Linked DNA regions of Notamacropus eugenii. The protein of the gene in region 2 interacts with the protein of the main gene of each other region in a pairwise test. Links are inferred from orthologs where the notes say so. Each region holds a gene or a part of one and is shown on either strand. Other genes may lie near its edges.

The links.
Region 1: the proteins of SDCBP (region 2) and HNRNPC interact in binary tests that used the Homo sapiens proteins (3 or more experiments, as listed by UniProt). The two-hybrid records come from large-scale screens. The link is inferred for Notamacropus eugenii from reciprocal best matches to the Homo sapiens genes SDCBP and HNRNPC.
Region 3: the proteins of SDCBP (region 2) and EIF1AD interact in binary tests that used the Homo sapiens proteins (3 or more experiments, as listed by UniProt). The two-hybrid records come from large-scale screens. The link is inferred for Notamacropus eugenii from reciprocal best matches to the Homo sapiens genes SDCBP and EIF1AD.
Region 4: the proteins of SDCBP (region 2) and WASL interact in binary tests that used the Homo sapiens proteins (3 or more experiments, as listed by UniProt). The two-hybrid records come from large-scale screens. The link is inferred for Notamacropus eugenii from reciprocal best matches to the Homo sapiens genes SDCBP and WASL.

Annotation. Positions count from the first base shown.
Region 1 is NC_092878.1:12,639,485-12,647,240, forward strand, and holds the start of HNRNPC (heterogeneous nuclear ribonucleoproteins C1/C2), read left to right. Parts: upstream 1-4,535; 5' UTR 4,536-4,796; intron 4,797-7,756. UniProt on the Homo sapiens protein: Binds pre-mRNA and nucleates the assembly of 40S hnRNP particles. Interacts with poly-U tracts in the 3'-UTR or 5'-UTR of mRNA and modulates the stability and the level of translation of bound mRNA molecules. Single HNRNPC tetramers bind 230-240 nucleotides.
Region 2 is NC_092875.1:277,130,391-277,138,535, forward strand, and holds the start of SDCBP (syntenin-1), read left to right. Parts: upstream 1-4,944; 5' UTR 4,945-5,168; intron 5,169-8,145. UniProt on the Homo sapiens protein: Multifunctional adapter protein involved in diverse array of functions including trafficking of transmembrane proteins, neuro and immunomodulation, exosome biogenesis, and tumorigenesis.
Region 3 is NC_092873.1:18,668,539-18,675,066, reverse strand, and holds EIF1AD (probable RNA-binding protein EIF1AD), read left to right. Parts: upstream 1-4,182; 5' UTR 4,183-4,318; intron 4,319-4,618; 5' UTR 4,619-4,631; coding exon 4,632-4,718; intron 4,719-4,803; coding exon 4,804-4,912; intron 4,913-4,980; coding exon 4,981-5,089; intron 5,090-5,166; coding exon 5,167-5,214; intron 5,215-5,527; coding exon 5,528-5,663; 3' UTR 5,664-5,882; downstream 5,883-6,528. Other genes in the region: BANF1 (barrier-to-autointegration factor), read right to left, coding at 2,847-2,993, 3,291-3,413; SART1 (U4/U6.U5 tri-snRNP-associated protein 1), read right to left, coding at 6,123-6,141, 6,229-6,350, 6,435-6,524.
Region 4 is NC_092874.1:127,331,796-127,339,799, forward strand, and holds the start of WASL (actin nucleation-promoting factor WASL), read left to right. Parts: upstream 1-4,927; 5' UTR 4,928-5,395; coding exon 5,396-5,515; intron 5,516-8,004. UniProt on the Homo sapiens protein: Regulates actin polymerization by stimulating the actin-nucleating activity of the Arp2/3 complex. Involved in various processes, such as mitosis and cytokinesis, via its role in the regulation of actin polymerization.

The DNA.
Region 1 (7,756 bases), on a different chromosome or scaffold from region 2:
GTATTTTAGTTTATGCATTTAAACTTCGAAGACTCCCACATTCCGTCTGACCTTGTTTTCAGGTCTCCTCTGCTCTGGGAAAGGGAGATTTTTGCAATCCCTTCCTCTAATCGTCCAAAATACAGTGTGAAAGTCTATGACAGGTATCCAGCTTTCCCCTCGCCCAAAGAAAAGTATGAGGTAAATTCAATAGATGTTGGAAAAAAAGAGTAGAGGGTGAATGCAGAGGAGGAAAAATCCAAAGAGCAGAAATCCTTTTAATTAGGTCTATAAAAAACAGCTATGGAAAACTGCTTTTTAACTTCTCTAGAGGAAAATCTTCAATTGAGAGGAATTGGTTTTGTTTGCATAGCTCCGTCTAATAATGAATACGTGACACTAGCTAAGTAAATTGTGTGAAGTTATCGGAATTTGGAGTTGGAAGGGCTCTCAGAGGCCATACAGTAAAATTCTCTCATTTGACAATTGAGGAAACTGAGACCCAGGGAAATAAAATGTCTTGCCCAAGGTTTGTGAAAGTGTGCACAGCTTCCTACTTTGCAAGACAGTCATTAATGGAGACTTTTCAATAATTATATCATGAAATGGCAGTGGTATGTAGTTTTGTCATTGTGTGGTATTTAGATATTCAAGCTCTATAGCTTATTAGCATGGACTCCCTCAAAGCTGTAACTAGGGTAGGAAGCTGGGGCTGTGTTCCTGGTGATCAATATTTAAAACAAGGGCTCTAAGCATAGGTTCTATGAATCTATTTTTAAAATTTCAATAACTGCGTTCACAACATAACTAATATAGTTTCTACTAGGTGATCGTAAGATGGGTTCCTCCTCACATTGGGCAAGAGAGGGTGGTCCACAGGTACAAAAATAAACTGGAGGACTTTCTATATCAAGCCAAAGCATCCCACCCATGCGGTTTGGTCACAGTAACTGAACAAAACAGGGTGCAGATACCCTCATTCTTATGCAAGCGAATTTTAAAACTAGTAAGTAAGTAGTGACCAGGGAATTTATAGGTTTTAAAGTTTGAGGCCTACTATACAGAAAAGAAAAATCTATCTTATCTACTTATCCTTATATTGTAAAATATGCATTAATATGTTATTCTTATACTAATATTAGTTGGGTAAACTGACTATATGTTTATTAGTAGATAAGTATATCCTTAATAATTGCTTATAATCATTGTCCCTGTAGAATCACCCTGATCAATACTGATTGAAATACAATTGAAATAAAATTGAAAAAAAATCCAATAAATCTTTCCACTCAGAACCCCTGATTTAGAGGGCACAAAAATATTAAAAAGACAAACTTAAAAGATTATACAATTTAAAATTTTCTTCCATGTTGATAGCCTTGTACACTTTTACCAGCGTAGAAATGACTGAACTTCTACTTGGTAAGACTAGTTAAAATAAGCTACCGTATCATTAACGTGAACCTTGTAATGAGTTATAATTTCCCGTCACAAATGAATTTTTCGTCTCATTATTTTTACATTAATTGCCAAATTGATGTAAGTAAACTTTTCTTGCTGCTTGTCCTGAGTGCCAGAATAGCTAGCTCTAGATTCCCTCTATATCTCTGATGTAAAAATGCTACTTCTTCAAAGCCCAGCTCAGGTGTTACCTTCTCTTCTGAGGTTTCCCTCATTACAATGGCTGGAAGTCATCCTTCCCTCTCTCTTACACACTTAATCATATTCTAATGTATATTATAGCTATCTGTGTACATATCTTATTCCAACTACTATGGTAGATTATTCAGTCACTGAGAACAGGATTTTGTGTTGTCATTCTTGAATTCCTAACACCTAGCATAGTACCATACAATTAATAGGCAGCAAAGTACAATGAAAAAATCAATGAACTTGGAGCTGTAGGACTTGAGTTCGAATGTTGACCCCGACATTTATTTCCCATGTGACCTCATCAAGTTACTTAATCTCTCTGGTCTCAATTTCCTTATATGTTAAATGAGGAGATTGAACTAGATGATCTTTTAAGATTCCTTCCAGGTCTAAGTCCACGGTTTTATGAACATTTAACAAATGTTTGTTGAACTGAAGGCAGGACTCTTCTCTTTTACGGTATTTCCTTTAGGATTCCTTATAGTATCTAGAACACAATCAATAATCAATTCTATCAAATAATTGCTAAAGAATTTTCTATAATCCTATGAAAACATTTTTCTTTCATTTTCTATAAAGGTGGCAGTTTTCTTTATAAAAACCTTTGTTACAACCTTGATATTCAATATCAACATAACTGATTAAACACACTGGGTAACAGTTCATATTTACTTTAATTTTAACCTATAAAATGTCCTAACCCTTTAATCGGATGCTCTATATTCAATCAGGATTCTTTGTCCATTTAGTCTCTTTTTTTTTCTCTTACACAGTTGTAGCAAGTGGTATTTTCATTCTTCTGGCTTTGTCTATTTACTTGATGTTATTTCATAAACTTTTCCATATATTTTTTATTCTTCATAGCTAGCTAAATGATGCAGCGGATAGATGCAGCTGGAGTCAGGAAGACTCTTGAGTTCAAATCAGACCTCACATATTATGAGCTACGTGACCCTGGGCAAGTCACTTAGCCTTTGTCTGCCTCAGTTTACCCCTCTGTAAAATGGGAAATAGCACCTACTCCTGGGGTTGTTGTAAGGATCTGTAAAGCGCTTTGTACAGTACCCGGTAAGCGCTACATACATGTTAGCTGCTTTTCTTATTAATCAGAAGAAATGCCATCTGCCAACTCCCCATGCTTCAGATGACTTCCTTCCTTCCTCCTGGTGCCTCCTGGTTTCCCTGGCTTCCTTCAAGTCCCAGCTAAAATGCTACTTTCTGCAAGAACTCTTTCCTGATCCTCCTTCACTCTAGTGCTCTCCCAGTGTTGATGATTTCCAACTTCTTTGGCTTGTATCCTGTGAGTACACAGTTGTTCCCATGAGCACCAGCCGTCTTCTGCCTTCTTTTGTATCCCCACTGCTCAGAACAGAGCGCAGAGCGGCTCTCAGCAAACATCCACTGGCTGTGACATCAGTGTGAAGGTGGCAGTTTCCATGAAGGACTTCCACACATCCAGGTATCTGTGCTTTGATCAGCGGGAGTGCCCCCATTCATCCTCCACACCTCAGCAGCCAGGTGATCCCGTGCTGGTCTTGGAGAGGGGCAGAAGACTCCACCTGGAGACAACTGATGGTCCTTGGACGAACCCAGGTGAATACAAAGCAGTCTTGGGGCCCTTCAGGGCCAAGCGCTGAGCGAGGCTTCACGGAAAACAGAAAACACGTTATTCGGCCCCCCACATTTGTCCTGGGGTGTGCGCGTTTTTTTCTTAACAAGATTCTTCTAGCACTTCTGGTGCCCCGTGGTACGCACCTGACGTCAGGGAGAGGATGACGTCAGGGAGAGGATGACGTCAGGGAGAGGATGACGTCAGGAGAGGATGATGTCAGGGAGAGGATGACGGCAGGGAGAGGATGACGGCAGGGAGAGGATGACGTCAGGGAGAGGATGACGGCAGGAGAGGATGACGGCAGGGAGAGGATGACATCACTCGCCCTTGACTTGGATCTGGGTGGGGGAGGGCTGTGCAGTCACCAGCCTCGCTTCTCCTCCCGAGCCATCTGGATGACTGGAGATGGCCCAGGATGCACCGGGAGACCCTGGCCCATTCAGGCTAAGGTCTAGAAGGCCCGACCTTTGCCCTGAGGGCATTGATAATTTGAGTGCTGCCCCCAATCACATGCAGAACCTCTGGGTATCTCAGCACAGTAACTTTGGAGAAGGGTGGGCCGTAGTCGGGGTGCTGGCACCTCGCCCCTGCGGGTGGGGTGGTCCAAGAAGGCACGTCAGAGGGAGGTACGGCCGGGGCAAAGGCCTCGGATCCTCGTCTGGGATTCCTCGTGGAGACCAGGGGCATGCGGGGGAGGGCCCTGAGCGGACGCACTGGCAATGTTATTACTTCGGCAGCTGTGAAATGGCAGGTTAAAGGCAGAGTGGGGAGCTGCGGGGGGCGCTCGTGGCGGTGGTGACAGGAGAAGGCCTTCCCCAGCCAGGCCTTCTTCGTACACACGCGGCCCTCTGGTTCTTCCCGCCACCTCGGGTTGGGCATCGGTGGGGAGGCGTGCGCACGTGGTGCAACGCGAGGCGCGGGGGAGGGGGAATGAAAGGGAAAAGCTCGGGCCCTGCTTCTCGTGGGCGTCTGTTAGCGCCGCGGGAATTCGGAGAACGGGGCGGGCCTTCGAACTCGCGCGCTGAGGGGGAAGGGGTCAGGAGGAGCTTCCGCGACCTCCAATCAGAGCTCGCTTGTAAAACTGGTGGTACCCGGATGTGAAGTCCTGCGCGGATACAAAGGCGAGTCTCTCTGTTGCCTCTTCGTTTCCTCCGTTGACCAATGAGCACCTTCTTGAGTTCAAATGACAACATCTACAGCCAATGAAAGGCCAGTTTCTCCCTCTGGTGCGGACTCACTGCCATTCTGACTAACCTACCCATGATTCCTATTGGACAGAGCTGTGACTGGCAGTCGAACGGTCTAATCGGGAGTAGGGACGGAGAGCAGCATTAGCCAATAGAAAGGCCTCTAGGAGTGGGGCGGAGGTCTCGGTTTTCGCGGTGTCGGTGGACGAGACGCGGGGGCCATTTTGTGAGGAGACGGAGACGGGGACGGAGAAGTAATAGTAGCGGTGGAAGAGGCTTGCGGGAGCGGGAGTCCGTTTCTTTGCCGCTGTCGGATCGGGGAGGCGGAGATTCAGAATCCACCCCTTTCTCCCTCTCCCCACCGGGTGAGTGGTGACAGTCAAGCCGGGGGAGACCCTGAGACCCTTGGGGGAAGGCAGGGCGGGGGAAGGGAACGTGGGGGAGAGGCGCAGAGCGCGTCCCTCCATGATAATAGCGCGGCCCAGACGGACTTCCTGGCGCGGCTTGAGTCTGAGGGTTGGGGGGAAAGGCTTCGAATGGGCCTCGACTCCATGGTGGGTGGACATAGTTCCGCAGGCCCCGCGAGCATGTGCCGCTGTGTAACGGCGCCCGCCTCCGTCTCCCCTCCCCCTGGGGTAACGGCCCACGGCCCCGGCGGAGCCCGCGAGATGTGGGCGGGGGGGGGTGAGCTCGTGGTGACGCCGATCCTTACTCAATGCTCTGGTCCCTAATTAAAGATCGGGAAGGGGGCGGGTTTCCCTGGAGATGCTCAGCGCCATCCGGGCCCCTTCCGTTCTGGGGGGGGCGGCGAGCGGCCGTCGCGAGTGTGCGTGGAGAACGATCCCAACCCGTCTGGCCGGTGGTGTGCCGTCCATGCACCCAGTCCCCGTGGCGGCTGCAGAATACTAACGTTCACTCTTTTTTCTCTCCTCCACGACAGAAAAGGTGGCTTTGGCAGTGTTGGCCCTAAATTGCGTTTGTGGGGAGCATAATTAACCCTAACGTAGCTGACTGACCGCTTTCTATCTGCAGGTTACAGTCATAGTTAGTGAAGCTTGGCTGGGAGGTAGGTATGGCCCTGCAGGCTCGCGGTGTGGATGGCCCAGAGGAGAAGTTAGACGGGTCAGGGATGAGGGTTTGTGAGAGTGCCGGCCCTCCGAGCGCTTGCCCGAGTCTCCTTCAGAGACCGCCGCCAGGCAGCCGGACACGTCCAAAGTGTACAGGAGATGGTCCAGACCTCAGATGACCGACATGACGGTTCTTGGGTTAGCTTACTGTTTGAAAATGGTAGCTGAAAATGGACAATTCTAATTTTTAATTAGGGTAAAATACAGTAGAGGAAATGGGGCCAGAAAATCCTTCACGGGAAGTCATACTGTTAGTTTTTAGGCACAGGGTAGCACATCTCTGCTGAATGCCCTCTAGTACTTACGTAGCGCCTCAGCGCTTGTAAAGTGATTCACATGTGTTATAATTGAGGGCAGGTAGGCGCTGTTAGTCCCGTTTTACAGGTAGGAAGCAGGTGAAGTGACGATCACGTAGTGGATGTCGGAGACAGAATTTGAACTCCCATTATCCTGATTTCAGGACCCGCAGTGCCCGCTGTGCCTTCCAGCTGCGTGTTATGGACGCTAATAAAAGGATCCTTTGTTCTACCAGATTAGCACAGAAAATAGTGGAGGAGGGCAAGGATTCCCAAACATTTGTGATTACATGGACTACACTGTTACAATAGGAAGTCTTTTATCAAAACATCCTCCGCAGGAACCTGATAATCTGGGTGTACTTGTTAAGAATGGTTAGTAAGAGAGGAAAATTTGAAGTGACCTGTAGTTCTGACTATGTGAATACTGGAGGGTCATTTTTGTATCCTTACAGCATCCTGAGTGCATATAATGAAGAGAATTCAGGTTAAACATTGCTGTGAGCGTGAGCGACTGGCCACAGACCTAGATCTAGATGCACTTTACAGTAGGGTGGGTAGAGGCAGCATTTCAATGTTGTGATAGCAGGCTAAGGGAAGAAATGAGCAAAGAAAGGTGCTGTGCGTACGTTGCTGGCATATTGTGCTCAACCTTTTCGCATCCTTTACATTTCTTTGCCACCTTAAAAGATCTTAAGAGTTCAAAGAGGCCAGCCTCCCACATTTCCAGATAAGGCAGTGGAAAAACATTTAGTATTTACATTATTTTACTCCTTCTAGTGATTGTTGACCTCCGTCATAGGTAAAAAAAGATTTAAGAACATAATCCTTGATTATAGTTCTTCTGTGTAGCCGTTATAATCAAAGCTTATAACAGAAGTTTGCATGACATGTGACCAGATTTTAGATCTAGTATCACATTGGAAGAATAAAAGAAAGTTTTAGGTCTTGATTTACTAAAAGAGTTACATGTACATTTTTCCTTGTGAAGTATTTTACTGTGAAGGAAAGGTTAGGAATTAACATATTCCGTGGGGAGGCAGTGTTGTACAAATAAAGAGCGCGGGATTGAGAGGCAGATGAGAAGAAAGTTGTAGTTACAGCTCAGCCACTAACTAGCTGTACGAGTTTGGTCATGTTATGATGAGCCTCCATTTATCTGAAATGAAGTTGGAATTAGTCTTTTACAGGTACAGTCTGTCTTTGAAAGGTCTTTATTATTTGAACAAAGGATTTAAAAAAGAGTGGATAAAGGTTCATATAATTGGTTTTCACAATTATAGCTACAACCAGTGGTAGATGAAGTTGCACCCATATCTTTGATAAAAATAAAGGGAGATTCATTTTCTCAGCTGTTCTCCAAGGGCAAGGTTGGTTTTTAGAAGCTTTTTGTTTGGGGTTTTTTAAATGAAATTGCCTAAAAAAACAAGTTGTAATTGAACAAGTGCCTTAAAAAATTCTCTTGAATAACTAGGCTATTTCAGTTAAATTTTTTAGGGATTTGTTTTTGAGATACAGTGTTGTTTGGTTATGCCTTTGTATTGTCATATTCTTATTTTATGTTGGAAATGTTGGGTGATAAGTTCTTTTGCCCAAGGTATAGAAATGGCTTTGGGGCAAGGTGGAACTCTATTGAAAGAAAACAAAACAACCAAAACCCCCTATTTGTGCTACTCTGGTGAACCACCTGATAGAATAAAAATAGATTTAATGAAATATGATTTCCATTTCCACTTCCTCCCCTCTCAAAAAAACCAAAAGTATAAAATTGGACCAGAGAATTTATTATTCCTTTACTAGGATATGCGGAAATATTTAATTTGATTGGTTATAAAATTTTACACATGTATAGAGAGAGCAAAGTTCTAATGTATTTGTAAAGCGATCATAAAGGAATACCAA
Region 2 (8,145 bases):
AAGCAATACAGACGTCACAGATTAACAGACAGATCCAGCTGTCTGAGCATACTTACATAGTTACCAGAGAGAAGCACCAACATCTGGGTTTTCAAAGTGGGGGGGACTCCCTAGTGGTTGCCCAGAGTCTCATCTGGCCAAACACTTCCAATAAGTAAGCCCCAAAGTTAAACCTCACTTCAGAGTATTTATAAACTTTTCAGAGTCAGAGGGCATCACAACCCTTGAGAACCAGTGCCTCTTTATAAATTAAGGAAAGGTGTGGGTCTCCCCTAATCAAGTTTCTCTTAATGGGCAGGCCCATCAATGGGTGGGGAAGATCTTTAACTCTCATTGGCATTACAAGATCACAGCTGAAAAATGCTATTCCTTATGTATGCATATGTATGTATGTATACACATACAAATGATATATATTTTGAAATAACTGATTATAGAAGGCTACACCTCAATTTTCTAAAGGCAACATTTTCAGGGGGAGGTAAATCCAGCCTATATTTTATCAATACCATAATCCAAATGTGTTTTTTCACATACCCTTGATTTCACAGAATTATTTATCTCAGAATTTCTTTTTAAAAATTTACTACTTGTCCATTTAGACTATACACTCAGTTTTTAAAAAAAATGCTTTGTATGCAACTTTTCAGTAAATTACTCATCATCTAAAGTGAGAAACAGTTCGTATATGTGGAAATAAGTATGTTGCATGCTAGTCAGCTGAGTAGTGGTTTTGCTGTCTTACAAGGAATTGTTCATAATGCTATATGAAATTGCACATAGAGAAAAATAATTTTTTAAGACATTGTTATCATGCGGAGAGACTGTGGTTGATTTGTCATGTGGCTGGCATTAAAAGAAGGAAGGAGTTACATAATCTTACAGATCAAATGACCCGCAAATAATTAACTTTTTAGTAGTTTATTCAAATGAAGACAGAAACCTACAGAACAACAGTCAAAATTGTGTTATAGAATTAGTATTTCAGGTACTTTGCAAATAAAAAAATGAAAATCTTAATTCTCAAAACTGTAAATAAATGTGTAACACAGTGGAGCTTTTATAAAGAGGAATATTTACTTCACTAACATACATACTCTCTGCCTCTCCCATCATGGAGATGCATAATTCCTCCTCCCTCCATACTACCTCAGTCTCTGGGGACAGGAAGGTGATTAGGTTTATAGTTTGGATCCAGTTCCCTTAGAACAAAGTCTCAGGTCAATGTCCAAACGCTTCACTTGGGCTCCAGTCCAAGGTACCCTGGGTTCTGTGGCTTCCCTTTACTGGAGTGGGGGGGTGTAGTGTACAGTTGCACTATCCTACCTGCAATCCTGGCTCCAAGGTGGTTATGGCTTGAACTCCTGGTCCTCTGGGGATCACTTCTAGCACCTGAAACTAGAGACAAACAACAGAGAAGAGAAACAAACACCCTTAGATCCATGTCTTAGAGCCAGAGTAAAAGAGGAAGTGTAGGGGCAAACATCCAGGCTAGGAGTAGCAGCTAGGAGCATAGACAAAAGATGGGAGAGGGAGGAGTAAGAGAGAGAGGACAGAGAGAGACAGAGAGAGACAGAGACAGAGAGAGACAAAGAGACAGAGAGAGAGAGGGAGAGAGACAGAGAGAGAGACAGAGAGACAGAGAGAGAGGAAGAGAGACAGAGCGAGACAGAGAGACAGAGAGAGAGACAGATAGACAGACAGACAGAGAGAAAGAAAGAGAGAGAGGGAGAGACAGAGACAGAGATACACAGAGAGAGAGACAGAGAGAGACAAAGAGAGAGACAGACAGACAGACAAAGAGAGACACAGAGGGAGACACAGAGGGAGAGAAATAGAGAGCCAGAGGAGGCTACCCCACTTATGTGGCAGGGGACCCCATGAGCTCCATGAGCTTCATGTCAGACAAGCCAGGCATGTTCAAAAGCCCACAAACATTGCAAATGTTTATGAGAATTATTCATGTAATGAGTGTGAAGAGGGAAACCCTTTGATCGGTTAGACTAGGGTACTACCTGTAGAGCTAGGCAGGTGCTCTGTTTCTTTTCTGTGGCCATGTACTCTAGCCTGTTTCTGAAGGACATAAGCTTAATTGAGAAACTGTAGCAACACTTGATTGGTCACCAATGATGGGGATTGAGTGAAAGTCGATTGTCAGGAGCAGGAGGAGTTGTATATTTGGTGGATTTTAAGAGGAACTGAGAAGAAATAACTCATGATCTTTTATGGATATGGGAATCTTCCAGTGCTTGCCCTCTCTTGGATTGCCAGCAAGGGGAAGGTGAAGAAGTTCTATCTTCGTCCTAGCCCAACGGCAATGATGACTGCTATCATATGGCAACAACAACATGGTGTTTGCCTATGTGAGCCTGAGTCCTTAACTACTTTTTACTTTTTGTTTTTCCCCTGAGCATAAAATATATCACTAAACCTGAGATATGGACATTTCTAGCCCTTGCTATAAACTCATGAAGTAAAAATGCTGAGAATTATTCAGCTGAGTGATAGCTGACCACTGGGAGGTGATTACCATCGTTACATCTCAGAAGAGAAGAAGTACCACTACCAAGAAGTACCACTACTACAGAAATGCATAAAAAACCCAAGCTATACCTTGGATGGCCAGGAAATTTGTTGTAAGCAGCTCATACCGTGCAGGTTTGATATGCAAACAGAATGTGGGTTTCAGCAGTTTCACAAAATTGTCTTTACCTCTGGGAAGAGAGTAATGTAAGAGACAGGATATTATTTTATGTTTCTGCATTTGTTGATGTGTACTTGCGAGTCTTTTGTGTTTTAAGCACTTTCAGTGATGGTAGAAATAAAAAAAAAATCTTCTCAGTAGGTTTCTACATATTCATAAAATATTCAAAATTTATACTGGTAGAGCCCTCATAGTATAGTACTTCCTCTGGTCTGCTCCCTCAAATAGCAATCGCGAGCTGAGATCACTGAGGAATAACTACCCCAAGTACAACATTTTAAGGGTCCTCACTAGTAGCTTTATGCCTTATAAGCCTCTCCTGAAGTATTCTTCTTCTTAGCTACCTAGAGCACACAATGAGCAGATAATAAAGGAATTGCCCCAGCTCACATAGCTAAGTACAGTAGCAATAAAATGTCCTCCACAAGCTGGGGCATACTCTCCCATAAATATATACTGCATCAGTGCATAAACTTTACAAATAGAATGGAACACAAATAGGGAACCCAAGTGACCAATGCAATCAATACTTCTGGTGCTACAGATTTCCAGTGTCTTCTCAGAACTTCCTGGAGTTGTTGTCCCTCCAGGAGCACAGTATCACTTTTTGGATGAGTTTCCCTTCTGGGCCCCTTAAGCTTTGGGTGATACTCAATAGATCTGATATTTTGCTGTAGTCTCCACTGTCTCTGCCTTTGGACTCAGCCGTAATCGTGGACTAAAGTACAGGTATGCAGTTTGGGGCAGAACTGGAATCCATACTGTAAGATTCACTGAAGCCATCTCCTAAGTAGGATCCTGTCTCCAGCTGCCATATAACTCCTGTTGTTGACTACCATGGACCCTATACTTCCTGACACTGCTAAGTGCTTCTACTTCAAGATGCCATTGTCAACCACGTGGGTGGGGGTGATTCTTTCCTTTCTTTGTGGCACTCTCCAAGATGTACAAGGGAAAATGTAAAGAATGAAAATCTCAAAAGCTGAGTGCTTTCTCCATAACCAACTCTCTTTTGTTCTTGATCCATCTGTTTGCTAGACAGCAGGCTTGGCTCTTGCGCCTCAGGTCCTTCCTGTTTGCCCAAGTCAAAGAGTAGACTACATAACCTTGGGCGAATCACTTACCTTTTCTCAGCCTCATTTTCCTCACCTGAAAAGTGGGAATATAACAGCACTTACTTTACATAAAGGGTTGGGAGAATCAGATGAGTAGGAAGTGCTTTGTAACCCTAAAAGGACTACACAGATGCTAGCTCCTATTCTCGTTACTCTTATTGTTATGCAGAGGAAAGGGCACGCTTATCTTTCCCAAACTTTAACCTAGTTCCCTGTACAAATGGGCTGTTCAGAGTCTGAAGAGGGCACCTCACTACCAGCAGCCAAGTGCCTGACAAGGCTGTGCCCTTTCACGCCTTCCAAGCCATCACTTCCTCCTTACATTCTAAAGTCTCCAAGTAGATGGGGAGCAGAGGCAGAAGTCAATTGTCCTGGGGTTCCTTGACCAACTCCTTTGCTACATTCATATTTTACCTATAATAAAATTATAAGTTGCTTAACATACAGCCGCAATTTGCATTTAGCAGCTAATTAATGATTAGTACTCAGACTTGGGTCCCCTATTACAGAGGGGCTCTGGGGATCCGGGCAATAAGAAGACAGTAAGTGGGGGAAGGGGGGTGTACTCAGACATCTTGATGAATTCGGTTCGGGAGCCTTCCTTAAGCCAAGGCACTGTGCTGAGAGCTGGGTACACAAAGGCAAAGGACGGCCCTCACCCTCAAGGAGCTTACGGGGAGACGAACGTGGACAAGGCACACCACAGCCAGGACCAAGGAGACCTAACTAAGAGGAAGAAAGCACCGGGATAAAGGGGGTTCAGGAAGGCTTCCTGCAGGAGGAAGCCGGAGAGAGGTGGTCAGGGCAGAGACAGGAGATTCCGGAATCCGGGGCGTCGGGAGCGCTTCCTGCGGAGGGGGCGAGTTTAGTTGGGAGGTCAGTGGTCGGATCAATCAACATTCATGACGCGCCCGCTGTGTGCCGGGCGCCTCCAAGGTAAGGATGGAGAAAGCGGAAAGCGGGGAGTCTCCGTCCCCAGGGGGTCGCGGATGGTTTTCCGCCTCCTGCAGGGGCTGAAGGACGCGAGCCAGCGAAACGAGCAGAGGGGACAGTGGCTCTATGCCAAACCACATCCCCTTCCCCCTCTCCCAGCCTCTCAGGCTTAGCCCCGCCCCAAGGTTGTCTTGGCAACCCCGAGGGCGGGGGAGAGTGACCGAGGAGAGTGTCACCTGACCTGGATGTCGGAGAGTGGTCTGCGCAGGCGGGGGGCGGGGCTTAGGGTGGGTGACGTAACTCCCCCGCTGACTGATTGCTCGGTTCCCGGACTTCTCCCTTCCCTGAGGATCGGGAAAACCGTTGCTGGGAAAAGCAGTTGAGACCCGTTGGAGGAGACAGCGGACGACGCTCAGGTGGGCGGCAGGCTTTAGGGGGGGCGGAATGGCAAGGTGACCCCCCCGTCCCGGGCTCGGTGGGTTTGGGGGCGAGGATGGGAAGCCGTAGGACTCACCCCTTGGGGCTGTGAACCCCCGGGGCGGGGCGGAAGCTGCGCTGGGGCTTCATCCGCCCCCCCCCCCAGGAGCCGCGATCCGAATGGGCCCCCGCCCGGGGCTCGGGCTTGGGGGGGGGGGCGCGGAAAGCCGCCGCCCCCGGGGCAGAACCAAGGGGGGGAAGGGCGTGGGCCTCGGGGCACCTCCTCCCGAACCCCCGTTACCTGCGAGAGGCTCAGGAACGGGGGAGAAGCACCCCAAAGAAGCCGGGCTGCGGGCTCGCTCCCCGCCTCTTGGTGGGGCGCCTGGGGCCTGGAGGGGGTGGGGGGCTTGTTGGTTCCGTGGGCGCAGCTTCGGCTGGGGACGTGGAGATGACCCAAGCCTTGGCTCGCCGCACAGACCTTGACTTGGGAGAAGGTGGATCCGGTGGAGGGCACTGCCGGGTGTGGGCGCGGACAGCCCAGAGCCCTCGGCCCTGGGCCCCGGAGCCTGCCTTCCTGACCCGGAGGGCCGGGGGCCGAGAGCCGAGAGTGGTTGTTGACAGTCTTTAGCAGGCGCTTAATAAATGCTGATTGAAGTGTAGAGGGGACTCTTACAACACGGGCTTTTCATTTCAACCGAAATGACAGAGTTTTGACAGGAAATTCCAAGGCTATTTCAAAAGTCTATGTTTCTGGGGCGTATTTTGTGCCAAATTGTAATTTCTATTAATATCTGCGGCTGGCCTCTAGTTGAGGGAAAAGAATACTAGTGACTTATAAAGGGAAAAGTTTTAAATGAATGACCACTCATGGTAGTTATTAGCACAGTTTCTGGCACATAATAGGCACTTAATACAGTGTTAGTTCATTTGACATGTCTTTTTATAGGCTGCAGTTCTGCCTCAAGTATATTTTATAAAGATTGGGTAGTAGCCCTACCCACTGGGTTTAGGGTTTCCTGTTACGCTATATGCAGAAGATGTAGAGAAGATCTTAGTTGTCTAGTCGTTTCATTTTTTTTCTCATCCTAGCTTGGGACTAAAAATGTAGAAAGATAAAAATTGTAACTTCATAGTTTGTTGGTTATCACCAATGAACTCTTAGAGAGCCTGGTAGCCCTACAAGACATTTGAGCTAAATAGTACAAAAGTAAGCAGTATAAAAATTTTAAAAAATTCATCAAGCTTTTCATAAAGATTATTCGGTAACCATAAAATTGTAACCTAAACTAGATTTTGGCTGTTAATTTCTGGTCTTTTTTTTTTCCAAGATACTGGTAGGAATGGTAGTATACCGTACTCCCCAACCAGAATGGGAAAAATCTAATAATAGTAGATAGTTACTGTAGTTAATAAACTATCTCCTTAGAGTTGACTTATCCTCCAGATTTTTGACAGAATTAGGTAGGTGAAATCTATTTTTATCCTTTGGCACTATGTAACCATAAGAAAGTCAATTTAAGTCATTTCTCTGGGCCTCAGTTTTCTTTATCTGTAAACACAAATAGCTGCCATTTCTCTTGTGATCTAGAGTTTGCAAAGCTCTTTACATTCTCACTAAGGTTTTTCTGTTTTGTCCATCTTAAAGAGTATGCTTAAGAAAAACATGAATATCATTTGGGTGCTAGGTTGAAGCAAAAGAAATACTCAAAGGGAATATTAATTGAGACATGAATATATGAACTTACCTCTTGGAACAAGAGTCTGAAATGAACAGGACCAGAGATCTTGATCTTGAACTTTAGAGCTCATCCTGATACAACCCCTTCATTTTACAGATGAGACAGATACAGAGAAGTAGGTTAAGTCTCTTGACTTAACGAAGATCACTAGTGAGCTGGATGAGAAAACAGATGAGGAAATGGAGATGAAGTGATTTGCCCTGATCACAGAGCTAATAACTACTAGCACTGCAAAGTCTAGCACTATTTCTACTATACTCTATTGTCTTTTCATAGTCTAGTTTAGATATGTGGAACATGGAATTTGTTTTTTAAAAAATTACCTTTATGGAACATTAATTCAATTATATGTATATCATAGTTTTCTATTGCCCTTTAGGAAGTATTTATTTTTTCAAAGTTATAGACAAATGAATAGGAAAATGTTTTTTGAGTATGGTAGGAGAACCTTTGGCTTTGGGGTCAGAAGACTGTCACATAGTACCTATGTGACTGGGGGCAAGCCAATTAACCTGCCTGTGATTTACTTTCCCACATTTATGAAAGGAAAGGATTGAACTAGATATTTTCTGAGGTTATTTCCAGCAATATGATCCTATTCTTTCTCATCACTTGTTCCAAGAAGGAAGGTCATTATTCCCTCCTATCCTCCCCCTTTAGTATATCTTTTGTTCCAAGGTCGCACAAAGCTTTCATAATGATGTTTTTATCACGTGAATATATGCTGACATTTAAGATTTGTTGGATATTTCTGGAAATATTTTTTCTGATGGTTGCTTTTAGGCCAGTGGATCATTTGTTAGGTGTCAGGGGTAAACCAGTTTAATTCTAGGTAAGTGGAGAGAGAATATCCCAAGAAAGGAGTGGGTCTGTCTTCTATTCTTGGCATGTTTGTAAAGGTAAAATCTGGTTTAAATGAATGTCAGAGGAATCAAAACCTAGAACATAAATATTAAAAATAACAGTGAGTCAGATAAATGCAAATGGGAAGACATGTTACAAAAGGGAAACTATCCGAGGAAGGTCTCTCGGATTGATAGGTAGGGAGGTTCATTTAATTACTTTTAAAATGTTTTGAATTTTTTGTGATTTTTTGTGTTCATTTTGCCACAGCTGCTTCCCATGAATTCCTCCATATATATAGCTCCCCACCTGATCGTAACATAGAAACAGTCAAGTAAAACAAACCAATACAATCCCTATGTAGCAGTACTCACCATAGTCTACTACTTCTTCA
Region 3 (6,528 bases), on a different chromosome or scaffold from region 2:
GGGAGACCCTGGCCCTTTCAGGATAAGGTCCTATCACATTCTCACTTTGAGTGAGATACAGCCATTCAATGAATAGACTTCTTTAAGTGGTTGGTCAAGGGATGGCCCCTTTAACTAAAAAAAAGCATCACACGGGGAGGTCAGACCCCCCACAAAACAGCACATGGGGAGGTCAGACCCCCCCACAAAACAGCACACAGGGAGGTCAGACCCCCCACAAAACACCACACAGGGAGGCCAGACCCTCCACAAAACAGCACATGGGGAGGTCAGACCCCCCCCACAAAACACCACACTGGGAGGACATACCCCCCACAAAACACCACACGGGGAGGCCAGACCCCCCACAAAACACCACACGGGGAGGACATACCCCCCACATTCCCCGCCCGGGCCAATTCTGCCCTGTCCTTTTAGCCTCACACTGTAAACAGTGTTCTTTTCTGCATCTATTCAGAGCCATGATTTGGATTTTAGGGTTTTTTCAGCATTTTTGTAGGGTTTTGTTGATGACTGCTCTTTGCAGTAGCACTGCTTTGATTGTCTTGTGAAGTTACCTTGTCAGGAAAGGAAAAGGGGGAAGTTCTAGGTTCTGAATCAGCAGGGAAGGGCTTGCTGAGCCCCTCACAACACGTATTACACCTTTCACTGGGCCCAACAATCAAGGGCCACATTCCTGCCATCTGGGGCTCTAGTAACTTACTCAGGGTATGGGGGGATGTGGTTTGGTCAGCTCCCTGTCAATCTCCCCAGGTTCAACAGAGAAGGGACCTTGTCCAGCTACACCCAGAGTTCTAGATGGCACCAGTCAAAAGTATGCCAGCAACTGGTAGCAGGGTGGGAGGGGGCGATGAAAGTGTCAGGCTGGGCTAAGCAAGGGAGCAGAGTGGGTGCTCCGTGTCAGTGATGGAGCCCTGCCCCATCCTCACCTCCCAGTGAGCACGCCCTACCTGGGATTTCTGTAGGCTCAGCATCAGATAACACCTTCCCCTTGGGCATGGGACAGCAAGCTGCTGGCTCACCCATTGCCACAAGTCTCCCCAGGACTCTCTTTTGTTCTGTCATCCTTTGGCCAGTCTCACCCTTTCCAAGGGTATGCTCTGGGGTGCCAACATCACAAATGGCCACAGGATCCCACCAAGAGAATACAGAGATGACCTGTCATTGCTCCTTCTTGCCTCATATGAACCTAACTCCAGCCAGTAACTGGGAAGATAAACAGATATTTGCCTCCTGGGCCCCTACTATGTGTCTGGCCACCTGTGCTTGCAACCTCAAGAAAGGATCAGTCCTGACACTTTGCTCAATCCCTCTAACATAGTCACGGAACACGACCACACATGAAGCAGAGAACAATATAGAGCAGTGTCTAACAAACACAAAAACTATGGTGCAAGCATATGTTGTAGGTTACAGAAAGGTGAAAACTCAGTGTGGGCTGGAGTAGTCAGGGAAGGCTTCCTGGAGGTGGTGGGAGTCAGGATGACCTCATTTAACCACAGGGACATTCCTCCCTCACCATGGAACATAAAAAACCAACCTCCTCTTTCCTCAATCATAGAATCCTAGGTACACTGGAAGGAGACACCCTAATTGACAGAGGATGAGGAAGCTGTAGTCCAGAGAGCGAATTGCTTAAAGACATACTGGTCACAACAGAGATAGAATTTAAACACAGGACCTTTGCTTCCAAGCCACCTAAGCACAGTGAAGAGAGATGAGGCTGGAGGGGGCGCCATAACAGATCAAACTTGTTCATAAACTTCTCTCTAGACAGTACATTTATCACTTTCTTTGGGCAGATGATGTAAAGCAGTTTTTTCCCTTGTTGCAACCGCCAGCTTCTCCCTGCACTGGCTCCTCCTAGGCAGCGGGGCTAGTTCACTCTCTGGGTACTCTCCCAAATAGCCAGGTGTTTTCTTGTGCCTGGAATGTTGTGGTTAACACAGGAATGGTGTTCCTTGCTCCCTGCAGTCATTCCTAGGCTTCACCAGAAGCATCCCTGGGAATCGAAGGTGGACAGCTGGTCTTCCACCCCCATCTAACCCAACACAGGAAACCCGATCAGCCGTCCCTGCAACCTGGCAGATGGCTCCCCTCAGCAGGTGATCAATGAGCCACATCCTGGACCAGGCCCAATACTAGCCTCTGGTGACATGCCCTTCTTTGATACTCACTAGACTACTCTGCCTATACCGAGGCACTCAGGCACAGCAGCTGAAACCTCAGCCCTAGGAGGAAGTCACAAAAAACCTTTCCCCCACATAACTAAGGAGCTAGGACACCAACATATTTGCCCAAGTCCCAAGACACCTACTCCAATGACCTGAAGATAGTCATGGGATGAGTTTACAGTTTGGGTTAGTATCTGATAAGAGCGGTGTTCTTGAAGGAAGTGGCTGCTTCCTGATCCAACATTCCCCCTTGTCCCAATTCCTGTTCACGTAACTAAGAACAGATGTCAAGGCTGATGACTTTATTGGTTTTAAAAAACTCTTTACAATGGCAGTGAACATCCCTCTACCAAAGTTACCCAAATGGCATAAAAGAGATCAAAAGTGGGGGGTTAGGGGGTAGGGAAGCCACTCCAGAGACCCACCCAGGAAAGCTAATAACTATCGCCACTGAAATTTACAGGACCAGGAGGCATGCTGAGGTGTGGACAGGGAGGCTTGAGTCAAAATAGTGGTGGAGAGGGGAAGGTGTCCCAGGTGGGGGCGGCAGCAAAAATCTTTCCTTCTGTTGGGAGGTGGGAAGGGAGAGAGGGGCAGGATTTCCCACTTGGGGGTGCTAACTGTGAAGACCCATCGGAGGGGGTAAGGGGGGCCGGCCCCCAGGCACGGGGCTCACAAGAAGGCGTCACACCATTCTCGAAGGCAGCCAAAGCAATCCCGAGCCTGCTTGGCATTGGCCCCACAGGTGTCTTTCAGCCACTCTCGGAAGAGGTCTTCGTCTTTTTTCAGCACCAGGAACTGGCCCAGAACCACGTAGGCCTGAAAGAGACACAGAGCCAGAAGGCTGTGGGCAGGCCACCTGGGAACGAGCTGGGGCCGAGTCACCGCCCACCCCTCCCCTTCTAAGGGGCTGATAGCGCCCCCGGGCCCAGCTGTGCTCGCGGGATCCGCCCCCATCTCCCAGGAATGAATGCGCAGGCCGGCACACACAGCCCGGGGCTCCCGGGGGTCACCCGCCCTTCCTTTCCTCCTCCGGGGCCCCACAGCCACGCCAGGGGTCGGCGCCGATCCCCACCCTGCCTCAGTCTTCCCTCTGGTCCCGCGAGGGCCCCGGACCTTATCGAAGCCCTTGTCCTCGAGCTTCTTGCCCAGCACTTCTCCGATGCCCGCCAGGCTCCCCACGGGCTTCTCCCCCATGGGCTCGGCCACGAAGTCCCGGTGCTTTTGGGAGGTCGTCATGGCTCCTCACCACAGACCTGGGGCGGACCACAGGGAAAGCACACGCTCGCCTCCGCCCCAAGCCAGGGGAGCTCCAGGCACCGCGCCCGCGCAAGCCCCGCCCCCTCCGCACGTGGCCGCCAGCCCCAACCCATGGCCCCGCCCCCTCGCGGGCCCCGCCCCCTCAGCCCCCGCGTCTGCCTCCCCGCGTTCCCCGGCGGGAGGGGGGAAGGGTCATCACAGCCGCCCGGGTCTCCCCCGACTCGCCCCAACCCTGCCCACGACCCTGGCGCTCGTAAGCCGCGCGCACGCCCACCGGCTCCGGCTCCGGCTTCTGTAACGGTCACACTACCACTTAACCGGCCTCTCCCGCCGCTGCCTCAATACCGCAAGGCGCGTGCCGGCTTCCGCTTCCAGGTTGTCAGAGTCGTTTCCGGGTCAAGGGCAATTTGAAGGGAGGCGGGAAGGGGGGGCGGGGCCTAAGGCAATGAGGCGGAACCGGGGAAAGGGGAGGGGAAGGGAGGGGAGGGGAAGGGAGGGAGGCGAGGACCAGGCGCATGCGCGTCTGCGGCGGAAGCGTGCCTCAGGATGGTTCCCAGGGAGACGGCGCCGCTCTGTTCTCTCTTCTCTATGGCCAGATCTGGGGCCGCACTCCTCCCGGCGCGGGGCGTGGAGTGGAGGGTGCTCACTACACGCGTGGCGCTTGCGGAGGCTCCCCACTCAGCCCAAGACGGGGCCGGCAGCGGCAGAGGCGGAACTAAAGTGCCGGGGTCTGCGGTGCCTAGCAAGGGGAAGATTTAGCCGGGAACACCGAGCCCTCTTTTCCCCCTCCCCCTCCCGAAGCGAGCACCGGAAGCGTGGTCTCCGGAAGTTCTCGGCTCGGGCTGGCGGTCTCGGCGGAGGCTGCGGCAGTGGCCAGCGGGAAGGTATGGTGGCAGAGGGCCCTGTGGAGGCGGCGGGGCCCAGCCCCGCCGGCTGTTTCCCGATCTTAGGTAGCAAGGGTTTCCGGCGGAGGCTGGAGACGGCTCGTCACCCCTCCCCCCATCAGTGTCTGGGGCCGGCCCGCGGGACCCAGACCCCCGTCACCTCCCCCTCGACCATCCCAGAGGCGTCGGGTTAAGCCCGGGCTGCACCCGGTCTCCGAGACCCTCAAGAAACCCCTAGCCAGCTAGTGGGATCCCGCCCCGGCGGGTCACTGACTCCTGTGGGGGTCCTGACCTCCACAGACTCGGAACCAGCATGTCTCAGACCACCAAGCGGAAGCACGTGGTGCAGGAGGTGCTAGGGGAGCACATGGTGCCGTCAGACCAGCAGCAGATCGTGAGGGTGAGCCCCGGCCCCCCGCCCCCCTCCCGGGATCTCCCGGCCGCTGCACCCCCTCCCCCAACACGCTCTCCTCCGCCCCGGGCAGGTCTTGGGGACCCCTGGCAACAACCTGCACGAGGTGGAGACGGCGCAGGGGCAGCGCTTCCTGGTCAGCATGCCCTCCAAGTACCGCAAGAACATCTGGATCAAGAGAGGTAAGGGGGCGGGGGCAGAGGCCCGGCCCTGCCCGGCTGCCAGGCCTCACCCGCGGCCTCTCCTGCAGGAGACTTTCTCATCGTGGACCCCATCGAGGAGGGCGAGAAGGTGAAGGCCGAGATCTCCTTCGTCCTCTGCAAGGACCACGTCCGCTCCCTACAGAAGGAGGGGCTCTGGTAGGGCCCGGGGTCCTGGGGGGAGGGCTCACCTGGCCCGGCTCCTCTCCGCCCCCTAAATCCTTTCCCTTATTTAGGCCTGAAGCCTTCTCAGAGGTGGCAGAGAAACAAAACAGCAGAAGCAGGTGAGTGTCTCGGCTGTCCCCTCTCCTCCCTCCAGCACAGGCTGCTAGCAGGCCAGCACCCTCTTTGGGGTGGACTTGTCTGTCCAGCTGCTTGCGAATGCTAACTAGGGAGGCAGCCCCAAGGCTGTCCATGCCCAGCTGCTTACTTGGGGCTAGCTTGCCCCAGTCTCACGTGTAAATGGGACTGATGTTTCTCAGGTTGGGGGGGATCCTGAGCTGTTCCAACTTCTGCTTCCTCGGCTTGGAATCTGGAAGTGCTTCTGTCCTGGGTATGGCTTCCAGGAGCCTCTCTCACTCATCCTCCTCCCTGCAGACCGCCTCAGCCAGAACTTCCAGGAGAAGCCCAGTCTTCAGAAGACGACAGCTCTGCAGATGACTCGGACCTTTTTGTCAACACCAATCGGGTGCAGTACCAGGAGAGCGAGGAGGAGAGTGAGGAAGAGGCCTGAGATTGCAGCTTCCTTTCCAGCCGGAAGCCTAGTCCTATACCTTGACCCCACCTCCATGGACAGAAATGGGCTTGCTCTGTGCATCCACCCCCTGGCTGGGGATGAGGCAGGGCTCCCATCTGGACTCCTACTCTTCTCTGTAAGAGATTAAACCCCTGGTGGGTTGAGAGCTGTGGTTGACTTGTACCAGTGTGCCTAGTAAAGCAATTCCGACTTTGACTTCTCACTCCGGTGCAAAGGAGGGACCAAAAACTTGGGTGGGGGGCTGGCTACAGTGCTAACCAGCCACTGGGGGCATTTCAGAATGGGCTCCAGGACAGGCAATACCTAGTTCCACCACCCAACTCTCTGTCCAGCTCTGACTCAAGGGAGGAAAATGGAATCATAACTTAAACAAGGGAGGAAAAAATAAGGAGGGAACTTTATTTAATATTAAAGGACTGAGGATACGAGACATCTTCACTTTGTGATGGTGTTTCTGTGGAAAGAAGAGACAAGAGATGAGGGAGGGAAACAGACACAAGTGCCTCTCCCTCCCCTGTCCCAAGGCCCATCCCCTGCTCACGCATTCATGCTCTTGCCGCTGCCACTAAGTACGATGTACGGGGTCTTCTGGGCTTTCTGTTTTTCCTGGAGCAAGGCCACTGTGCCCAGGGGTGTGTCACTGGAGCTCATCTTTTTCAAGAGCTGTAACAAGGGGACCCCTTATGCTCAGTGGCCACTTTTACAAACTCTTGAAAGACACCCCCCTCCCCCACCCCAACCACTCACAGCTTCCTCATCGAGCTTCTTCATCCGCCGCTCAGTCTTCATTTTGCCGGAACCCTTTCCATGGAATCGGTGGGACAGCTGTCGGAAGGCCTGA
Region 4 (8,004 bases), on a different chromosome or scaffold from region 2:
TTAAAGGGCCTAGTGACTCATTCATTCATTCATCCATTCAAAAATTACTTATTCAGCACCTATTCCATGCAAAGCACTTTTAGTTAGTACTAGTGAAAATGCAAATCTGAATTAATCTGTTATCACTTAGTAAAAGAAGAGTTGTGGAAAAGCTCAAGTAAACATCAAGATGAATAACAAAGGGAGGACAAATTTTAAAAAATGCAAAGAATTTAAATTAATTAACTTATCCTTTCCTAAGAATTTCTGAGACTTTCTGATGTCCATATCTGTGCTGTCAACATATAGAAACCCCAATTTTGTAATGAGGCAAAAGTCTTTGAGTATATTTTGCTAGCTAAGTTATCCAAGGGGCAGAGGTAGTAGTTGTGGAATTAGTCCTGGGCTAGTACTGATTTTGCCACTGATGTAACCTGATATAACCTTAGACAAATTACATAACGTCTACTGGATATTTCTATTCTTTTCTGTAAAATAGGAGGAAGGGATGAATTAGAAGATCTCAAAGATCTTCCTCTAATTCCAAAATTCTATTTTCTATCACTGCCTCTCTAGATTTAATTGCATTATGCAATTACTGCTCTACTGCTTTGAGTTTTCCCTCTTTCTCCTCCTGCGCATGCATTGCCTATCAAATCTATCTCTACAACAGGGATTCTTAATCTAAGGTCTGTTAAATTTTTTTTTGTAATATTTTGCTAACTGTATTTTAATATAATTGACTTCCTTTGTCATCTTTTGTATTTTAATTTATACATTTTGAAATATTATTCTGAGAAGAGATTCATAGGTTTTGACGGGCTGCCCAAGGGGTCCGTTTGTGACAAAAAAAAAGAAACGTTAAGAATCCCTACTTCTACAGTATCTCCCACATCTGACCCTTTCTCTCATTCCAAAGGCAATGAGCTTTGTTCCAGGTTTCATCACCAACCATTCACCTGAACTATTAAAAAAGTCTCCTAATCATCTTTTGTACTTCTCCAGTCTCCATGCAATCTCCCATGGCAGTGACCCAATAATCATCCTAAAGCACTGATTGTGCCTACTTTAAATCTTCAGGATTCCTACTGCTTAATGAATATAGAATAAATTTCTATTCCTGGCATTCAATGTTTTGGGCAAAATTTACCTTTTCAGTCTGATGTCATACGGTTACCCTTCACATGTTCTATGTTCTAGCTAACTAAGCCAAACTATTACCCAGAAGAACAGCTGTTGTAATCTGTTGGAGTGTGCTGGTAAGTTTTTAGCAGTAGTTCTAAAAAAAAAAAGTACAACATGCTTTTAAATTTAATTTGCATTATTAACGTTTTCTTAAATCTTGAACAATTAGTCAAGCCCTGATTTGTAGCATTTGCTACAAATGTAGCAAATGTAATGTAGATGTTGAGTTAATGCAATCATTAAGATAAAGGTTATAATAAGTTAAGTACCTACTTAAAGCTTAATCAAAACTTCTGGACAATTTTCATAGTTCTGGTACTAGACTGCAGGAATTGAAGGCCATGAATGCATTGACTCTTCCTGACCTAATTATCAAAGGTATCAATAAATAGCTGGGGGAATTCCTCAGGGGAGGACAGTGCAAGTTGGTTGGGAAAGAAACATCTTGAGATGAAGGATTTTGCTGCCAGTTTGACTAGGCCAGATGTAGATGTGACCCTGATTAACAAAAGATCTGAAATGTGTTGATTAGCTCAAGGCGTTAGTAGTTTCATAAGAGAAAGTTATATTACTTTCTTTGAGGAAGAAGCCTTAGAATTCCATGGCTGCAGAAGCTCAGAGAAACAGCACAGCAAAACAGGGGTGTGCAGGAGACAGTTGAAAAGGCTAATGAGAACCTGGTTGTGTATTTGGGGGGGATGCCTCAGAAATTGGCAAATGCTACAAATCAGGGCTTGATTAATTGTTCAAGATTTAAGAAAATGTTAATAATGCAAATTAAATTTAAAAGCATGTTGTACTTTTTTTTTTTTTTAGAACTACTGCTAAAAATTTACCAGCATACTCCAACAGATTATAACAGCAGTTCTTCTGGGTAGCTTTGGAAAGAGAGAGGATGCACAGCTTTTAAAGTATAGTGGAGTAGCAGTGACATATAGCCAGCATCAGGGAAATACAGATGCTTTCTGAGAGGTGGATCAGGTTTTGCTCAGGCCTACTTAGTGGTAACAGCTCAGGATTGGAATATTGGAATATAAGACACTTGTAGACTGTATAACATTTAACAAAAAGGAATTTACTTAATAGCATTGAAAGAGTTTTCAGGATCCTTACAACACTGATATATTTAGATGCAGCTTCCATGCCTCCCCATTTGCCACCATGATATATACCTGAGGGCTCTCCTTTACTGGGCTTTTTTACATAGGTTACTAGGAAACTATATCAAAGATTCAAGCATTAGTCTTCAAGACCATTAAATCTTGAAGATACTTTTTGCTCTTTAGAGGAAATCTAATAGCTTAGCCTACTTGGAGCAGATGAGGCTCCTACCACAGGGAGTTACCTGCTGTGATATAATTTCAAGATCAAAGATCATGAGATGTTCAGGGTAGAAGCGGCTCTACGGGATGGTGGCTAGAGGAAAGTGTGATCTCTTGCATCAATATGTCAATCTGCAGAAGACTCTCTTTTTGTATAAAAGGGGATGTTTCCTGCTTATTGACTTTGCTATTTTGTGCCAAATAAAGGTTTTGCTACTTGATGTATAGTTCCAGGTCTGTTGGTAGAGAATAAACTGATGGGGGGTTTAAACTGTATTTGTTTTACGATGAACAGCTAAAACACCTCATCCTGAAACTGGGCAATAGCTTATCTATACTACCCATAATTTCATGTGCCCATTCTCATCATTGGTGCAGAATAATAACAGCTAGCTTCTATGTAGAGCTTTAAGTATGCAAAGCACTTTACAAACATCATCTAATTTTATCCACACAGTAACACTATGAGGTAAGTGCTATTATTATTCCCATTTTTACAGATGAGGCAACTGGCAGAGATTTTGACTTGCCCATGATCACATAGGTAGTAAATTATCTGAATTCTTGGTCTTCCTGACTCTAGAGCTAGTGAGGTATCTGCTGTATTACCTAGCTGCCTCCAAACACCAGGTTCTTGGGGGAGAGTTTTAGGTGATAGAATTTTAAGGCAATGGAGATATAACAACCAATCAATCATTATTTATTAAGAATGTACTGATCCAGGTGCTGTACTTGATTATGGGGGTACATTAAGTACATATAAACATACAAAGATTTACAATGGATGAAAAAGGCAGCAGAGAACCAATCTCGGTATTTATATATGTAATAGATCTTTATTATATTCCAATACAACAATTTTATTTATTGAAACTTCTAATCTGTCTACCTTCCTCAAGTCTCTCCCAATGCCAATCAGCTAGTCTTCCTAAACCTTAGTACATCTGACCATGTCACATTCCCCTATTCAATAAACTCCATTGGCTCCCTATTTCCTCCAGGATCAAATATAAAATCTGTTTGGCTTTTAGAGCCCTAATTTGTCCCCTTCCTAATTTTCCAGTCTTCTTACACCTTACTCCCCTCATCATACTCTCAGATCTAGCGACACTGACTACCTTGCTAATTTTTCATACTTGGAAGACACTCCAGTTTCATGCATTTTACTGTGTCCTCCACAACTAAAAAAGTTCTTTCTCATATCCGACTTCCTTCAAGCCCAAGTTAAAGTCCCATCCTCTCAGAAGCCTTTCCTACTCTCCCTCATGCTACTCATGCTTTCTTTGTGATTTTCTCTCCTGTTTCTACAGTTTGTATGTAGTTGTTTGCACGTTGTCTCCCTCAACAGAATGTGAGTTTCTTGAGAGCAAGGATTAGTTGGGTTTTCTTTGTCCTTGGGTCGTTTATGTCTAGGGCAGTGCCTGGCACTTAGCAAAAATTTCATAAATGCTTATTGATTTGAACCAAATATAATTCAGGTGATATCAGCATTCAGCATTGCACAACAATAAAAGACATCGATTTTTAAAAAATTGTTGAGGTTTATTTCAAAGCATTCGGCAACTATTTCTACACTAATTCAACAAACATTTCTTAAGTGCCTACTATGTGCCGGGCACAGAAAAGTCACTGACGCCTGATGGTTGTTAAGGATGTTACAGGTAACATCCCCAAAGGAGTCTGCTTAAGGGAACTAAATAAAGAGAGCCTTCGGCCCCTCTCCCGGGTGGGAAGAGGGCGGCGAGTCCGCCTCCGAGAAGGAGTCCTTTCTGGGGCTCACGGCGAAGGTCCGTGCACAAGCGGGGAGTCCACCAGGTGCACGGCGTCACTGCCCCTCCGGGCGGGCCGAGGCAGCCAGGCCGGGCGCTTTCACGCAATTCCCCGGGGCCGAGAGCGGCCTGCCGCTAGACTCCTCCACTCCCTCGGAAGTTGGGACAAAACTAGAGAAGAGCTCGGACACCTGCACTTTCGGGTGACGCTGCCCGGGGCGGGGGCTGGGTGTGTAAGGGGCGAGGCGGGCGCGCGTTCCGTCGGCGAGCCCCCAAACAAGCCCCATTTCCCGGAGGCGAGGCCAAGGCCTGCTGGGAGGTTCGGGCACGGGGAGAGGTGAGGGGGTGCAGGAGGGAGATGGGATTCCCCGCATCCCTCCACCCACGCCTGGTCCTTTAGTCCCCGAGAAGCTGTAGCAGTTGAGGCTGGACCCTAACTGGAGACCGCGGCCTCCACAGGCCAACAGGTCGACCTCAAGAGGGAGGAGAGCCCGAGGGCACATCGTCACCTTGACGAGCAGCTGGCGGCCGGGCTGCTAGTTGTGCGCACCGGCCGCACTCCCACCTCGGGCGGAAGGGGAGGCGGGATCTGCAGGCGAGGAGGCGGAGCCTGTGGGGCGGGACTGGGCGGGCGGACTGGGACGAGGGGAGGGGGGGAGGAGGAGAAAGGTTGTTCTGGCTCTGGCGGCCGCAAGTTTCCGGCGCGCACCCCCGCCTCCCGTGTCCTGTGGTCTCGCCCGCCCCCGCTGCCATGTTGGATTCTGCGGCCCCCACCGCAGCCGCCGCCGCCGCCGCCGTCGCCGTCGCTGCTGCCTCGGAGGAGCCGGAGGAGTCCAGAGTTTAGCGCCGTCTCTAGTCGCGGAGGACGCGGACAGCAGAGCATCGGCAGCCGGCAACCTCTCTCCTCCACCAAGCCCGAAGCGAGGTCCCCCCAACCCCCGCCCGCGTCCGGCTCCTCCTCGTCCCCCCCTCCCCCAGAAGCCCTGAGATGCTGCGGCTCTGACTCCGCTTCTCCCCGCCCCTGTCACTGCAAGGGGGAGACCCACGCAGCCGCCCGGCCGCCCCGCGGCGGAGGAGGAGGACGCGGAAGACACGGCCCCAGCTCCGGCCCCGGCCCCGGCCCCGCCGGCCCCCGCCACCATGAGCAACAGCCAGCCGCAGCAGCAGCCGCCGCCGAGGAGGGTCACCAACGTGGGCTCGCTGCTCCTCACCCCGCAGGAGAACGAGGCGCTCTTCGGCTTCCTCGGCAAGAAATGTGTGGTCAGTTTCCCGACATTCGCCGCCCCCTCTGGAAAGAGTGGGAGAGGGGAGGGAGGGTCCGTCCCGGGAGCGCTGCCCACCTCCAGGGCCCAGCCAGGGAGGCTGGGGGGGCGGGGGCCCGAGGCGGTGTCACCTTCCCTGCTCCTTCTCCTTCAAACTTTATTCTCAGGCCACTGGGGGTGGGCGGGGAAGGGGTTCCTTTTGCCCGGGAGTCTCCCCATCCCCAGAAACGGGACTCCTTTCGGGCTCCCACTTAACCCCCTTGGGTAGCCTTCAGCATCCTCCAAAACGGGAAAGGCTGCGGACGCCGGCGCTTAGAAATGAATGAAGGGGGCCAGGAAGCGCCCCCAGCCCCCAGCCCCAGCTTGGTCGCTCTCCCCCGCCCCCTCCGGGCGCTGGGCTCCGTAGGAGAAACGCTCGGGTGCTTTGGGGCTGCAATGCCAGCTGTTCCCCGGCTCCTTCCGTTTCCAATCGAAAGGTCTGGTTCGAGCAGGAAATGCTGCGGCTCCTCCGACAGGGCTTGTTTCTGCTACATTCTCACCCGGGCCTGGTCCCTCCTTCCCTCCCTCCCTCCCTCCCTACCGGTGCTTGTCTTCCCCTGGAAGGCCGGGGAGGTGGAGGGGGGGCTGGGGAGGCGGGGAATGGATGCTGTTTGCCTCTCCGCCATGCGCAGTGGAAACTCGGTCTCTGATACTTCTGAGCCCCGAGGAAGCGGAGGGGGGTCGGGGGGACGGGACGGGAACGGCCGCGCTGAAGTCTTAGGCTGCGGTGGTGCTCGGCTCCGTCCAACCCCCGATGGCCGGTGCGGAGCGACGGGTTCTGCTGCGGGTTGTTGAGAAAGCGTTCCTTACATGGACTGCCGGCTCTTCTGGGGCTGGGGAGGATTTTGCCGGGTGGGGGTGTAGGCCTTGTCAGGCTTGGGCTGCATCTCCCAGTGGCTTGGGGCAGGGCTGTGGTTGAGTTAGCTGGAGGTCTGTCTTAGTTCCTCCTCTCCCTTACTTGTTACCACCTGCAGAGTTTTATGTGACCTGGGAGCAAGCAGTCAGTCACAGCGTAAGGGGGGAAAATTTAACCGAGAGATGTAATGCAACTACCTTCCTTAGTAACATTAAGCTATATCAGACCAGGCTACACCTGTTTGTACAAGAAGTCAGGATTAGAAAATTTCAGGAATGTTATCAGATTAATTGTTAACTCCCCAGGAGTCGACCCTTTGTATACCGTGCAAGAGTTGCAGTTTATAAGCTGGATCATTTGATTCAACTACAGACACTTACACTTCAGCTTTTAAAAAATTAAAGTTATTTCTAATGTTTGGCCGTGGTTCTGAGGCACAACATAGATTTTTAGCAAATGACATGATTTGGGTTTAAAGATTATACAGGTTAAGTGGTTGGCCGCAAGGATAGGTTAGGAAGAAGTTTGTGGCATACAATATTTAAGGGCTTTTTGTGACTTTTGCCTGCATCCTTATTTTCTGTTCTTGCAAGTGTAAAATGTTTAAATCTTGAAAATAATCACTCGAACAATAGAAATAACATGAACATTTTAAGGGAAAGCAGTAAACATTTTCATAGTGCTATGTGCCAGGTGCTTTTTACAAAATGACCCTGCTGTGTAGTTGTTAATATTATTATTCCCCACATTGCCGTTCAGAAAACCTCAGCAAACAACATGAATCGCATAGCTATAAGTGCGTATGTGAGACCTGATATGAATTAACATCTTCCTAAATCTAGACCCAGCCCTCTATTCTCCAGCTGCCTCCTAGAGCATTACTCTTATAAGGATCCTAGAATACGGTGTGGAGATACTTAGAATTTGAAAAAAATCATATCTATATAATGAGTTACTTTATAATTGTATATGAATACTACAATACCTTATAGTATTACACTTGCTACATTTTCTGAGTTGAAGGGGAAGTAATTTTCATATCAGACACATTTAGACAGGAAGGAAAATAGCAGTTGTATACAAGTGTACTAAGTAATTACTGTGAGATTGCCATTGCTGTTTACCGTTTGCCGCCTCTTCCAGTTTCAAAGAATGACTGGTTTGGAAGGACACAGAACAACTGTAATACAGAAAGGCTGTGTGTTTCAGTAGTTGAAGTAGTGAACTGGTAGATAAGCTGTTAAATTATTCTTTAGCCAGCCTTTTTGTCATGTCATTCAGTGTCAAACAAGACAAACTCCTTGCTTTTCACCTTTCCTTAACGACCCTACATTATTCATGTCTGTTTTGGATAGAATGCTGTTCAATTCAAGAAATATAAAACATTATGATAGGCACTGGGGATAAAGCGACAAAGGAAAGGAAAGTCTTTGCCTTCAAGGAGCTCACATTCTACTATGGGTAGGATGGAGTGTGATAAAGTATGAATATAGATGAGTAAAGTACGAAATAATTTGAAGAGCTAGAAAACTTTAATAAATGGGACCATCATGAAGGAGATAAAAGCTTTGAAAGATGATAAGGATTCTGAG